Arabidopsis thaliana: one gene and its partner. The protein of the gene in region 2 interacts with the protein of the main gene of each other region in a pairwise test. Each region holds a gene or a part of one and is shown on either strand. Other genes may lie near its edges.

The links.
Region 1: the proteins of AT1G24650 (region 2) and AMT1;3 interact in a protein complementation assay, tested with the Arabidopsis thaliana proteins (one large-scale study listed by BioGRID).

Annotation. Positions count from the first base shown.
Region 1 is NC_003074.8:8,803,311-8,809,985, reverse strand, and holds AMT1;3 (ammonium transporter 1;3), read left to right. Parts: upstream 1-2,525; 5' UTR 2,526-2,631; coding exon 2,632-4,128; 3' UTR 4,129-4,467; downstream 4,468-6,675.
Region 2 is NC_003070.9:8,731,172-8,739,497, reverse strand, and holds AT1G24650 (Leucine-rich repeat protein kinase family protein), read right to left. Parts: upstream 4,929-8,326; coding exon 2,756-4,928; intron 2,671-2,755; coding exon 2,183-2,670; downstream 1-2,182. UniProt on the Arabidopsis thaliana protein: Involved in auxin signal transduction and cell expansion and proliferation regulation.

The DNA of each region.
Region 1 (6,675 bases), on a different chromosome or scaffold from region 2:
AAGTAATCTTATATGTAACTTGAACGATTTTTTCTCAACTAGTTAGCTAGCTGCGTTTAGGTATACGTGGATATTTCCTTTTAGACTTTACCAACCAAAATACTTAGGCTGATGAATAATAATAACCTTAGATAAGGTGATGTCAGTAAATCTAAGTGGCCACTTGTAAACGTTTACGGGTCGAGCCTAAATGGGCTTTATTTGCCTAACCATTCGTTGCCTTAAAATCTTTGCAAAGACTTCCTAAACAAAAAATGAGTGGCCCATATTTGGTAGGCGATTAATTTATAGAACTTAATTTTGCCTAGATGAAGAATTCAATAACATTCTATGTTCCTAAACCCAATACAAATCCTTTTATTCATTCGTTAGATTCAGTTTGGATAACTGTAGTATCATGTTATCACGATATTAAATGCGATCAGGTCCAATAGCTTTTCCTTGCACATCATATTTTCTGCATATTAGTCAAACTGTATTTGCATCACGCATTTTTTTCTTGTTAAATGTATCTTTCATATGTCAGCTAAACAAAGACAACAAATGCGAAACTTTCAATTATACTGTACAATAATTTGGATTACATTTAAAGTGGTAGTTGCAAGAATATTAATAGAAATACTTTCGGCATTTAAAATAATCTTGCTGTGAATGTCTACTCGTTGAACTTTGAACCAAAAAAAAAAAAAAAATCTAAGAAGTATAATAATTAGAGACTAATAGAGTCAATAACTCATTCTTTAAAATATATAGAACTAGCTGGAAACAATAGATTTGAATGGTACTACTTAGAATCCAGCAGGGTTCTTTAAAGTCATCATGAAGCAATGCAAAGTCTACCACTCTTGGCGTAATTGTTTTTTGGCACAAAAGTTAATGCAAAAGTCTTGATTATCGCAATTTTTCTTATGATGCCTTTGGTTTCTAACATCAGAGGATAAAAAAAGAATTTCACGAACAAAAATTGTGAATTTTGATATGCATAGAGGCGAGCTATAGACTCCCTAACGTGCTATTGCGTCGAGCCGTGGTGCTTACCTAGTTACACAGTATAACAAGCCTGCTTTAGTTTTATTTCATAAACCAATATAATGTAAATCACTTACTATGGCTTTTCGTATTTAGTAAACAATTTTACATTTATAATTTTCAGTTGACCTAAATTAAAAAATATGTACTACAATTAATCAATAGTTACTACGTATTACTAAAGAATCAATATTTGTTATGTGGTAATCAATGATGTCACGTCAATTCTTGACATTATTTTGTACGATTTAGAAAGCTACCGTCTACTAAAATATGTGCATAATTTAACGTTCATTATTTTAGAAAACAGTTTGCTTTGTCTATTTTTCTGAGTGTCAACTCTCATTTACAACTCATCAGTAAATATATAGATAACAAGTCACAAGTGTCTCCCATAATGATTAAGTTAGGTTGACTTAAAACATGATTAAGGTCAGACACACACACACATACATATATAGAAAGCTTTCAGTTTTTAGAACTAGTTAGTGACAATAAAAAGCCTATTGGTGAAACATCAGCACTTGTAACAACTTTTAAGTATATTTATTCAAATACATCATAATAGATTTTTGATCAAAAGAGATCATCATGTTCCTAAAAGTAATACTTGACTTGAATTTTCATGGCTTGGCACAAACTGAGAGATAAATGTCTTTTTTCAATCATTAAATATCTTAAAATATATATATATATATATATATATATATATCTTAAACATGAATGTTTTTGTTTTGGTATAAACGTGAATTATTCATGAACTGTTAATAGGTTTCAATGTCAATTGGATCGAATTATTGTATATATCTCTTGCTTGAAACTATATGTCGTGTGTCTTCATTTTTTTGTTTTCCTAATTGAATACTTTATACATGCATGTAGTATTATTATACAAAACCAAGATAATTTTTTTTAATGCTTCTGTTGATGATCTGAGTAATTTTGGACATATCTAAGAGTTAAGGGTGTAAAGTGCAATTTTCAGCAAATAAAACGTGGTTCCCGCTAACCCATGTTATCATTTTTGGTTTCAACCTTCAGCAAACTTAATTAATATTTGGTTATGAACTTTATTAAAATTTTGCAAGATTATCATAAGATTGTCGTATAAAGAGTGCTGAATCTTGACTTAATTTCATAAAACTGCTGATCTAAAATCGACATCTATGTAGTAAGTTCTGATCGGTTTGCTTGAACATATACGGTTGAGCTAGGACAATTATTCTTTGATTTATTACTTTAAATACTAGTATCAATTTTATTCACAAATTTATTTTTGTAATTTTTTTATACAAGCCTTTAATTTACCTTTTTTTTATTCACACATTACATGGCAATCACTTAATCACCAAAAACCGTATAGGATTAGGATCGTAATTTGCAAGTTATTAAGAAGATTTGGCAGATTACATCTCTAATTCAATAATGTTGTTACGTCACATAACTTCTTAAATAATTGATAAACTCTCTTAAATACGAACTTAATTGGTCTAGCCGGAATCTAAAGTCAACCCTAAACTCCTCCTTCTTCCTTTTAAGAGACACACAAGAGACAACCTTTCTTCTCCGTATCTCTCTTTCTCTCTCTCAGCTCTCTCAAACATGTCAGGAGCAATAACATGCTCTGCGGCCGATCTCGCCACCCTACTTGGCCCCAACGCCACGGCGGCGGCCGACTACATTTGCGGCCAATTAGGCACCGTTAACAACAAGTTCACCGATGCAGCCTTCGCCATAGACAACACCTACCTCCTCTTCTCTGCCTACCTTGTCTTCGCCATGCAGCTCGGCTTCGCTATGCTTTGTGCTGGTTCTGTTAGAGCCAAGAATACGATGAACATCATGCTTACCAATGTCCTTGACGCTGCAGCCGGAGGACTCTTCTACTATCTCTTTGGTTACGCCTTTGCCTTTGGAGGATCCTCCGAAGGGTTCATTGGAAGACACAACTTTGCTCTTAGAGACTTTCCGACTCCCACAGCTGATTACTCTTTCTTCCTCTACCAATGGGCGTTCGCAATCGCGGCCGCTGGAATCACAAGTGGTTCGATCGCAGAGAGGACTCAGTTCGTGGCTTACTTGATATACTCTTCTTTCTTAACCGGATTTGTTTACCCGGTTGTCTCTCACTGGTTTTGGTCCCCGGATGGATGGGCCAGTCCCTTTCGTTCAGCGGATGATCGTTTGTTTAGCACCGGAGCCATTGACTTTGCTGGCTCCGGTGTTGTTCACATGGTTGGTGGCATAGCAGGTTTATGGGGTGCTCTTATTGAAGGTCCTCGTCGTGGTCGGTTCGAGAAAGGTGGTCGCGCTATTGCTCTGCGCGGCCACTCTGCCTCGCTAGTAGTCTTAGGAACCTTCCTCCTATGGTTTGGATGGTATGGTTTCAACCCCGGTTCCTTCACTAAGATACTCGTTCCGTATAATTCTGGTTCCAACTACGGCCAATGGAGCGGAATCGGCCGTACAGCGGTTAACACCACACTCTCAGGATGCACAGCAGCTCTAACCACACTCTTTGGTAAACGTCTCCTATCAGGCCACTGGAACGTAACGGACGTTTGCAACGGGTTACTCGGTGGGTTTGCGGCCATAACCGCAGGTTGCTCCGTCGTAGAGCCATGGGCAGCGATTGTGTGCGGCTTCATGGCTTCTGTCGTCCTTATCGGATGCAACAAGCTCGCGGAGCTTGTACAATATGATGATCCACTCGAGGCAGCCCAACTACATGGAGGGTGTGGCGCGTGGGGGTTGATATTCGTAGGATTGTTTGCCAAAGAGAAGTATCTAAACGAGGTTTATGGCGCCACCCCGGGAAGGCCATATGGACTATTTATGGGCGGAGGAGGGAAGCTGTTGGGAGCACAATTGGTTCAAATACTTGTGATTGTAGGATGGGTTAGTGCCACAATGGGAACACTCTTCTTCATCCTCAAAAGGCTCAATCTGCTTAGGATCTCGGAGCAGCATGAAATGCAAGGGATGGATATGACACGTCACGGTGGCTTTGCTTATATCTACCATGATAATGATGATGAGTCTCATAGAGTGGATCCTGGATCTCCTTTCCCTCGATCAGCTACTCCTCCTCGCGTTTAATTTTCAACTTTTTGGTAATTTATTACCGTTTAAGTATTGTTTGGGTTTTGGTTTTGAAATATAAATATTTGGATGTTTTGGTTTGTTTTAAGTGACCTATCGTCTTTTTGTGTTTATAAGTGTTTTAGTTTATGTTTTTTTTTTTTTTCTTGAATTTTAATTTTACATGCCTCGGCTAATGTTTATGCTATTTCTTAGAAATTTATATATACAACTTTTGGTGATCCAAAAAGGAGAGTTATGCATATACTGTATACAACTTTGCTTAGGTTTTTGTTCTGCCGACGGCATTAGGAAATTGGAGTACACAAAAGTTGTTCTTAGAATAATATAAATTCTGAAAAATCATTTGTGTACCATTTCGTACCAAAAGCAGAACTTAGTCATTCCCTTATGTACACGTAAAGCGATTTTTTCCAATTAGTTAACTAGCCACGCTTAGGTACACGTAGATATTATCTTTTACTTGAACGATGTTGGTTAATAAATAATACTAGAAGAAATATGACATGTCATTACATCTATGTAACTGGTCACTTGTTTAGAACTATTGAACTAAGCCTAATGGGTTTTATTAGCCTAACAATTGTTGCTATTAATCGTACAAACTAAAATTAAAATATAAATCAAATTCTTGCGTCCTCGATAACTTTAAACAAAGGAGTATGACCCATATTTTGTGGTTGATAAATTTTAGCACCTAATATTTCAATAGTATTTTTTATTTATTTCAAATTCTGCTAAACAAAAATTTTTATAACATATATTCCTTGTTTGTATACACTTTCGAGACCTGTAGAATCATGGAATTACGATGCAATTCCAGTAGCTTATACCTTGCACATCATCTTTTTGTGCATATTAGTCGTCAAACTGTATTTAAATATTCTCAAACGTATATTTCATATGTCACCCAAACAAAGACAGAACATTGTACAAGAATTTTGATTACCTTTAACGGGTCGTAGTAAGAAAAAATATTAAAATAATTACGAACCAGTTAAATATTCTTGCCCGTATAGTTTAGACTTAGAGTTTTATTTTATTTTAATTATCTATCGGTAATCCGACATTTTACCACCCAACTAATTTCTTAGAGTGATTATAGTCGTCAAGTACTAGTGTATTCACCAAATTTTCTAATAATAAAGAAAAAAAATATAACACTATTTCGACTAGGTAAATAACAATTGATGTAGATAATTCAATGTTTTGTAATGAATCTTTTCTTGTTCTAGACCGACAAGGCAACGCTTCCTAGAATGGGAATCGCTAAACCACTACCACTTGATTTATATATTTGTTTACTACTTAGAATCTAAGATGGTTCTTTAAGATCCTCTAGCATTGCAAATCAACCAGTATTGAGTTAAATTGTTTTGGCAAATAGCCAAATATGTTAATGCAATTATTATGATTATCTATAGAGTTTTTTTTATGATGTTCTTGGTTATTAAACACTCAATCACTATTATAGAACATAAAAAGTAATTTCACGAACAAATATTTTATAGTCTGATATGCATAGAGGATAGCTAGAGACGCCGCAATGCGCCGTTGCATAATTTCATAAAACAGAAAACGTCCCAATGTGGCTTTTCGTATTTAGTAAATTTTTAGTTCTTATAGTTAATTGTCAGTTGACCTAAACTAAAATATAATATGCACTATAATTAATCAGTAAATTAAACGTATTATCAAATAATTAATTTGTGTTATGTGGTAATCAATGATGTCAGGTTACTCTGTATGATTTTAAAAGCTCCCGTTGCAATTAAAATATTTATCGTTCGTCGACGACATTAGATTAAAAAAAAAGTTTGGTTTTGTCTATTTTCCTGAGTGTCAAATCCCAATATTAATGTATTCTAAATCGTATACTTCTTCGTTTTCCATCAGCTAATTTGTAATCTAGTAAACTTATTTATTCTCCTTCGTACGTATATATTCACTAGTGAATTTACAAGTATGTCTTATAATGATTAAGTTTACATATAGGCATAGTTGGAACATTACTTATTGCTACAATTTTATCTATAAACTATACTCATTCTTATTCGACCATTGTGGTTGCTAATATATAGAATCACATTAAACGCCATTGATTTGTTGAATTTTAAGATCGCAAGTGAAATTTTCAACTAATAAAACGTGGTTCCCGCTAAACCATGTTATCATTTGCAGTTTCGTCAGCAATTATATTAATACTTTACAAGTTCATTATATTTAAGATTTTCGTATTAAGAATGCTGAATTTTGACCTGATTCCCAAAAAAAGAGTTGCTGATCTACAACTAGCAAGGTGCCACAAATTGATTTGCTAGAAACCCTAGAAGTACTAATTTTGTTTATATAATTCTATTAAAATAGAAATTAGAAGATACTCAGGTACATGTAAACGTTTTTTCCCCGAAAGTAAAAGCACGAATGAGCTTCCCTTTCGTGTGAGGTGGTGTGACAGTGTGAGTCGAAAACGGCGACCAACTCTCTACGGGAATCTTCTTAGATTCCTTGGTCAAATATGTTTTGCTTACATATGCTACAATT
Region 2 (8,326 bases):
GTTTCGTTCCTTTGGTTTTTGATTTTTATGATCTTCGACCAAATCACGTGATCTAAAACATTGACTTTGATCATTAAATCACTGCAATGCTTTCAGTTAATTTCTGACGTAGAATCATAAAGAGACGTCGTTGTGTATCTGACGACCACACAATATTTTCTGATTATTAAAAGATACACTTGTTCTACAAGTGAATTACAACATCATATAAATTTTACACATCCAGAATCTGGATCTTTTATCTATATAGCAAATTAGCAAGCACTCTTTTGAACAATGAAGCATGCATGCTTTATCTACCAAGAAAGTAACAAAGAGTATCAATCATATACAAGATAACTAGAGAGCTGAAACTAGGTAGAGAGCATTATACCTCCCATATCAGAAGCCATTAAAATCTAATCTTTGTACTTGATAGTTACCACTGAGGTTCCAGTAACAAAACGGGTACCTACCAAAATCAACTAAAAATATGAAAACCTAAACCTAATTATTTTCCGAGATTCAAGAACACTAAAAGAGAGATTTTACAATGTTCTTTGGGATTCAGCCTCATCATTCTTCGCTCCATTCCCGTTCTCAACCGGAATAATGAGCACGATTAGAGAAAGTCATAACAGATCCATGAGCAATTGGAAATTTGATCTGACTTACAGTCATCTTTTCAGAAACTCGAATGTCTTAACGATCTCATCTTCTTCTTCTTCTTCTTCTTTATAAACTCATTATGTTAAAATCTAGTCCGCTAAAGGTCATTTATAGTTAAACTTAATGTACATGCATTTGCCTAAGGGCTGCTGTTATTTTGTTATGTTCAAATCAGTTCTTCCAAATTGTCTCGTCCGGAATTAAATTAATATACTTGCAAAAAAATTTGTTATATCTTAAATTTTGGTTTTTGTTAGTTTTTTTTGGATCACTAATAATTTGTAATGTTGAATTCATTTGGCTTTTTTTATTAGTCAACAATACTTTTAGACATTATCTATTATTAACTAACATGTTTGTGTTTCAATTTAACTAATTCATTAAGGCCATAGGAAAATCGTCAAATACTAACCACACAAAATAACTATAGATACTGTACTTTGGTGTCATTAAATTCAAATTGGACTTTCATGTTACCCAAAAAATGAATCGTTTTATAATTTTTATGTTTGTTATTGCGACGTATTTTGGATTGCTTGTATCAGTTCTGTCTTGTAAACGTAACACAATTGAAATTATGAACGAGCTTGGTCCCGGTTTGGTTCTCCAGTATCATTGTCATTCAAGAGACGACAATCTAGACGTAGCAAATTTATAATTTAAGGAAATAAAACAAATCCGTTTCGGAGACAAGCTAGGAAGAAGAACAAGATGGACTTGTCTTTTGAAACACGGCTTATACATGCGATATTATAAAGAATTCATAGCATATAGAGCAGGCAACATTGACCGATGTGGTGCTCTGCGTCGTTGGGTTGTTAGAAATGATGGAATTTACCTTGTGAGGGATCGAAATCCTCAACCAAAGTTCCATCATGCATGGAATAAAACTAAGTAATGTTGATGACAATACAATTTTTTTGTTTTTGACCCAAAATGTGCCTAAATTTGTATTAGCCCCGTATAATCTCCATTAATTGATGGATTACATGAAAGCTAAATGAGATAATTTGTTGTGTTTTTTCCATTCTTCTGTATTAAAAAATAAGACAAGGCCTGAATGTTTCCATGTAGAGACAACTCGTAGGAGACAACTAAAAAAAAAGTTTGATGCCTGATCATTTATGTACGTAGCATATGATGTAAAGCACAATAAAAATGTACAAATTGTGATGTACAATGTCTTAAACCATAAAAGAAATCAGTTGAAATTCGGGAAAACTATAAAATAAAAAATTATATATGTCAAACCATTTGACTCAAATGATACATCAATCAAAATAAATTCTTGAGACAATGCCAATGCCCAACCTAAACTTCTAAATATCTAGAAAGTGTCCAGCTAGTCTACGACAAAAGACCAAAACACGTGTCCAATTTAAGCATATGGGTTCCATTCGTGCGAAAAGGACACCCTAACTTGAAAAGGAAGGTAACCAACAAGATATATTCACTATCCGCAAACCTAAAACAAGAACTCATCCAACAGCAAAACCTTTCTCATTCCATGTTCCAGCTAATTCTCTAACACATTTTACCTCCCTTGTCCTGATTTGAATGTGCTTTCAAGCTCGGAAGGTCGCGAAGGTATGCTCGTCAGAGTATTATCTCCAAAAAAACACGAATCAAGAATAAGTTGAGGAAGAGGAGTGTCGTAATCAATTCCATAGATATCTTCCGAGTCACTGCTTCGTTCTGTGGGTTTCCATTGTACAACAAGTGAGACCAACACGTTGACAACGTGATTCATGTCGGGTCTATCTCGCGGTTCCCTGGAGCTACATTGATTGGCAAGCTCAGCTACTATGTTGATGCTTCTGAGTGTCTCTTCGTTGACCTCCATTGCTTCGTCTATCGCCTTTGGGAATGAGCCTTTGTTGATAAACATTCTCCTAAACCATGTGGCAAGATGTACTTCTTCCTCAGATCGTGCAACATCAAGAGCTTTTCGACCCGTTAGTAGCTCCATGAGGATGACTCCAAAGCTGTAAACATCAACCTTTGTTGTAACTCTTCCGGTCACTGCAATGTACATAGAGATTTCAATATTTTACATTTAGTGAGTTTAGAACGAGTAGCAACATACAAAATAAGCATAAAACCATACCTGCATACTCTGGTGCAAGATAACCAAATGTTCCAGCAATCTTGGTCTCAATTGATTGTGTACCTTCTGGTGCAAGCCGGACTAAACCAAAATCAGCAACTTTAGCATGCATGTCATCTCCAAGAAGAATATTAGAAGGTTTAAGATCTCTGTGTATGAAACTTTGATGTGCTAAAGTATGCAAATACTCAACTCCTCTAGCCACATCCAATGCAATAATCAACCGTCTAGTCCACTCGAGAGGCCTCAACCCTTCTTCCTTCCAATAGAAAATATGCCTACTTAATGTCCCTTGTGGCATGTACTGATAAACAAGAAGTCTCTCATTGCCTTCTAAGCAATAACCATGAAGAACCACTAGATTTCGGTGGCGAACTCTAGTAAGAACAGCAATCTCTGATTTAAACTCATCTAAACCCTTTCCACTTATAATCGAAGATTCCATTCTCTTAACCGCAATCTTTGTTCCATCATGCAACTCTCCCTTGTAAACTATTCCAAATCCTCCTCTCCCAAGTATATTCTTCTCATCGAAATTATATGTAGCATCCCTCAAAACTTGTATTGAGATCACAATATTTCCAGCTTCTCCTAGATGAGCGTCATTACCACTGAATCCACTTTCACTAACACCAGTACACAGATTCTCAATTGTAATCTTGAACGCATCTTGGTCACTAGATTGTTGTTGAGGATGCATCTTATGATATTGCATCTTTTTCTTGACCAAAAAGAAAATAGCAACCCCTATAAGAAGCAAAGCTAACAAAATACCAATAACAGAACCAACAATTTTCCCAGCATTACTAGATGCTTTCTTTCCAGCATTGCCATTAGGACAGTCCTCAAAATTCCCAGTCGTGTTAACAATAGTTGTGTTAAAACGAGGTACTTCACCACACAACCGATTCTTCGAAACATCCAGTGTTTTCAAGTTACTCAACTTAGCGAGCTCTTGTGGAATAGTACCATTAAGATTATTCTGAGAGAGATTAATAACACGAAGAGACGCAAAATCAGCAAATCGTGGAGATATAGTGCCGTTGAGCCCCAAGTTTTTGAAGTTGATAACTGTGATATCAGTTCCAGTACAAGTGATCCCTACCCATCCACTACAAGGATCATTTCCTTTCCATTTCTCCGCAAAATTCACCGGGTAACCAAAGGCTTCAACGATTGAAAGCAACGTGTTGACACGGGGATCACAAGAAGTACCTGGAGTATCTAAGCAGAAACTATTGAGACCATTCAGATCAGGCTTAATGTCAGGAGCCGTGAAGTTTGGAGTTGGTCCTTGAAGCAAGTTATTACCTAAAGCAACATCAGAAAGAGATTGCAGCTCAAACAAAGAAGAGGGAACGAGACCCGAAAGCTGATTCTCCCTAACATTGAAACTTTTCAACGAGACTAAACCAGAAAAGTCTGGTAAAGGACCGGAGAAGCTGTTCCCTTGCAGCGTAACATTGGTCAAAGAAGTCATCTTTTGCAGAAACGAAATTGACCCATGAAGCTTCTCCCTTCCCTTTTGCCCGTTAAGCATCAGAACTTGAACACGTGAGTCGGAGAAATTCATGGGAAATTCACATACAAGCGAGTTATAAGACAGTTTCAGAGTCGTCAAACTAGAGAAATCTTTCCCCTCGAAGAGATAATCCGGGATCTTCCCGGAAAGATTGCAGTTGACAGCAGAGAAATCTACAAGGGAAGTCGCGTTTTCCAAACTCGGAGGTATCACCCAAGAATCAAAAGGATTGTTATCCAGAGAAACATGCTGAAGAGAACTCAAACCAGAGAAGAAATCCTCAGGGACAGAAGTGAAATCATTGTCATTAGCATACACAGTTACCAACGATTTCAACCCAGCAAGACTCGGTATTGGTCCTGTTAAACGGTTCCTCATGACCTCGAACTTCGTCAAAGATGTTAGCTTTCCGAGATCAGGAGGTAGCTTTCCTGAGATTCCTCTGTCCCCGATTTGGATCGCGGTGACCCGATTGCTTGCGTCGCATTTTATGAACATAGACCACTTACAAGGATCCGACCCGGACCAGTTTGGATTTCCAGATAGCTTCAAGGAGTCTCTCAGAGCTATCATGACCGCCTCATCAGGGCTCGATTCAACGTTCACCAAGGCAATGAAACAGAGCAAAAGGAGGAAGTTTTTTGCGATCATTATCTTTTTTTTTCAACTGAGAAACAAACGCAGGGAGGCGTTGATTCACAGACAGTGATAGATTAGGGCTTAAAGACTTCAAAGGAAGAAACTTTTTGGGCGGAGATTTTCTTCTTCTTCTTGAATTGAATGAGAAAGGAAAAAACGAAACGGCAGATTTTATTGCTTTTTTTGGAAATATTAAATTGACTTGAGCGAGGGAAGTGCTTTTATTGTTATTTCCCATTTCTTGGTTTTGTTAATAAATGATTTGTTTCCTTTTCATCTGACCAAGGAAAGAATGTTAAAGGACGCAATCTTTCTGTATTTACAGGCCCAGATATATAAAAATCATAGATTTTAAGGCCCAGTATTATTTTCTTTTTTCTTTTGTGTAACTAGGCCCAGTATCTTATTTTAGTTTCTTTATTTGCTGAAATAGCATTTTAACAAAATGCATTTGCACTGTTCGTAAATCTACATTTCTTTATTATATTTTCTTTTTTGTATTTTTTTTTACTGAGATTTGTTTCTTTTTAAAAATAATGAAAATTCCAAAACTCTCATTTATTTATTTTGGAACGGTTTTATAGTTTTAGGCTTTTAGCATTATAAAATTGAATACAACTGAAATATATATGATTATAATAAACTAAAAAGAAACTTACTTTTATTGATAGTAAATTATAATTGTCAAATATCATATATTTTTTCTCATTGGAAGTTCTATAATCATTTGGACCAGTCCTACCATTTAACGGTGGTGTTTTTGATAAACTGAGGAAAATTACTGTTAGGAAAAACTTTAAAAGTAAGGGTTATCATGATCAAGTTCGTAGCAAATGACAAATTCGATATTCAATAACACAGAGCTATTCTAGCAACCAAACTGAGGTCTTACATCTATGCATATTATTGAGTCAAATAATTAGATGATTATCCTCTTTGTTTGCTCCTTTTTTTATTACTTTATTTTTAGGTCAAGTTTGAAGTTGGGTACTCACAAAAATACCTTTTTTTTTTGTCATCTGGATTATATTAGAAAATTAAAAGTTTCAGAATATGAAACCACCGATTACAAGGCTAAACTAAACCAAAGTGAAGCGAACAAGTTAGCCTACCACAAGACCCAACTCCAACATATTCAAAAGTGGTCTAAACAAAAAAGAATAAGCTCTGAACCATCGAGCACCACATAAGCCAAACCCTCCATATACAAACCATTGATCTCAAACACTGAGCATCAACACCAAAACGACTTCTCACTATCAAACAGAATACAAACCTCTTTCTTCAACAAACACACCATTCATCCAATAAGGATGCCCCACAGCCACATAGGATTGAGACCGAGACGCCTCCGTAACACTTTGGGCGATGAGGTTTGCTCCTCTGTTTGCAGCAGAAAATTCCAATTCCACCTTCCACACCAAAAAAGGTAACTATGATCTATTTAAAGCCACACTCTGAGCTTTAAAAGAAGGCCACGCCCTTGGTCTCAACACTGCACCAATCAGAGACTTATCTTGAAAGGCAAAGATAATATTATCAATTTTATGACTGGCCATACTCTCCATAGCCCATAGGAGACATCTGAGCAAAGCATCAGCCTTGCTAGAGATAGGAGCAAAAGAACGTCTACTGTGTAACAACACTATACCATCCTGATCTCTTAAAACCCAAGCCCCTCCAGCAAAATTGTTTCTTTTTTACCAAGAAGCCCCAATGTTACATTTAACCCAATTCGCTGGAGGTTTAATCCATAAATTCTCCGATACACTGCCTACAAAATGAACACCATTACTCAGGGGAGGATTAAGGGCAGAACCCTCACCATCTAAGCATTGAGCTTCAAACCATTCCACCACATCATCCCTAATCTTTATCACTGTATCAGTAGCTGGGTAGCTTATCCCCTCAAAGATGAAAGAGTTCCTATTTTTCCAAATCCTCCACAAAATCCATGGAAAAATTTTCCTGAGGTTAATAGGCCATTCTTTATTATCTTTGTTCTCCAAGAGATGATTGATGTTGGAATAAATAGAGCCGTTACTAAAACCATCAGGAGGAAAAGGATAATCAGAAAGAGCCCAAATTTGTCTAGAGAGTGGGCATAGAAACAAGGTATGATTCGTCGATTCCCCAAGCTCACCACAGACCTGACATGTGGTATCAACGACATTCCTCTACCATTCAAGTTCTCGGCAACCGGAAGAATACCACTAAGCACCTTCCAAAGAAAAATCTTAATCTTTGGATCAGTCTGAAGGTTCCACACCTGAGTTTTCAACCCTAGAGTAGAAGGCTGCATAGAGACTTCGCTTCTCAGATTTTGGCTCTTTGTTTGATAAGCTAACCAATAGGCAGACTTGACAGAAAAATCTCCACTTTTATTTAACTTCCAAACGAAAAAATCTGCTTGAGATATCACTGGTTTAATAGCTTTAATTCTGAGAATGTCTTCTGGCAGGAATAAGTCATGAAGAACCTCTTCATCCCAAAACCCCGTTCTTGGGTTTAACAAGGCTTTAACTTTTAAAGTCACATCATATATCAGGTTTTTTCTCCAAGGGGCCCTAAAACCATTATCATCTATCCAGGGATCTATCCATACAAACAAAGAGGCACCATCACCTACCCTTTTTTGAAGACCTTTAGACAAAAGCTCTCTGCCAAAAAGAATGCTTCTCCAACCAAAGGAAGGTCTCTGACTCAAAGCGGCATCCAGAAAATCAGTAGCATCAAAATATCTACTTTTCAACAACCTAGAAAGGAGGCAATCCGGGAAATGAAGCAGCCTCCACGCTTGCTTCGCTAGAAGAGCCTGGTTGAAAGACTGGATATCACGAAACCCCAAACCACCACTATCTTTTGGTAAACACAGCCTTTCCCAACTTTGCCAATGAATCTTCCTTGAATGATCACAAGAATCCCACCAAAAAGATGCCATTGCACTCTCCAAATTTTCACAAGTAGTAATGGGAAGCTTGAAACACGACATAGCGAAAACCGGCATCGCTAAAGCAACAGATTTAAGTAATACCTCTTTACCCCCCTGTGAAAGGCATCTGGTGAACCAAACATCCAGTTTCTCTTTTAATCTATCCTTCAAGTAATGCAACATATCAACCTTTGACCCACTAAAGCATTCTGGAAGCCCCAGATAGGTCCCAGCCCCACCCTCAGTGAAAATTCCCAAACAAGTCCGGATAGTACCTTTCAATTGCTCATCTACCTTTTCACCAAAAGTAATTGAAGACTTGTTCAAATTAATAGTCTGACCTGTCGCATTACCATACACCTTCAAAATCTTTTGTAAGACCAGACTTTGCTCTCTTGAAGCTTTGCATAAGAAAAGACTGTCATCAGCAAAGAGCAAGTGATGCACCATAGGGCCATTCTCAGAAAACTGAATTCCT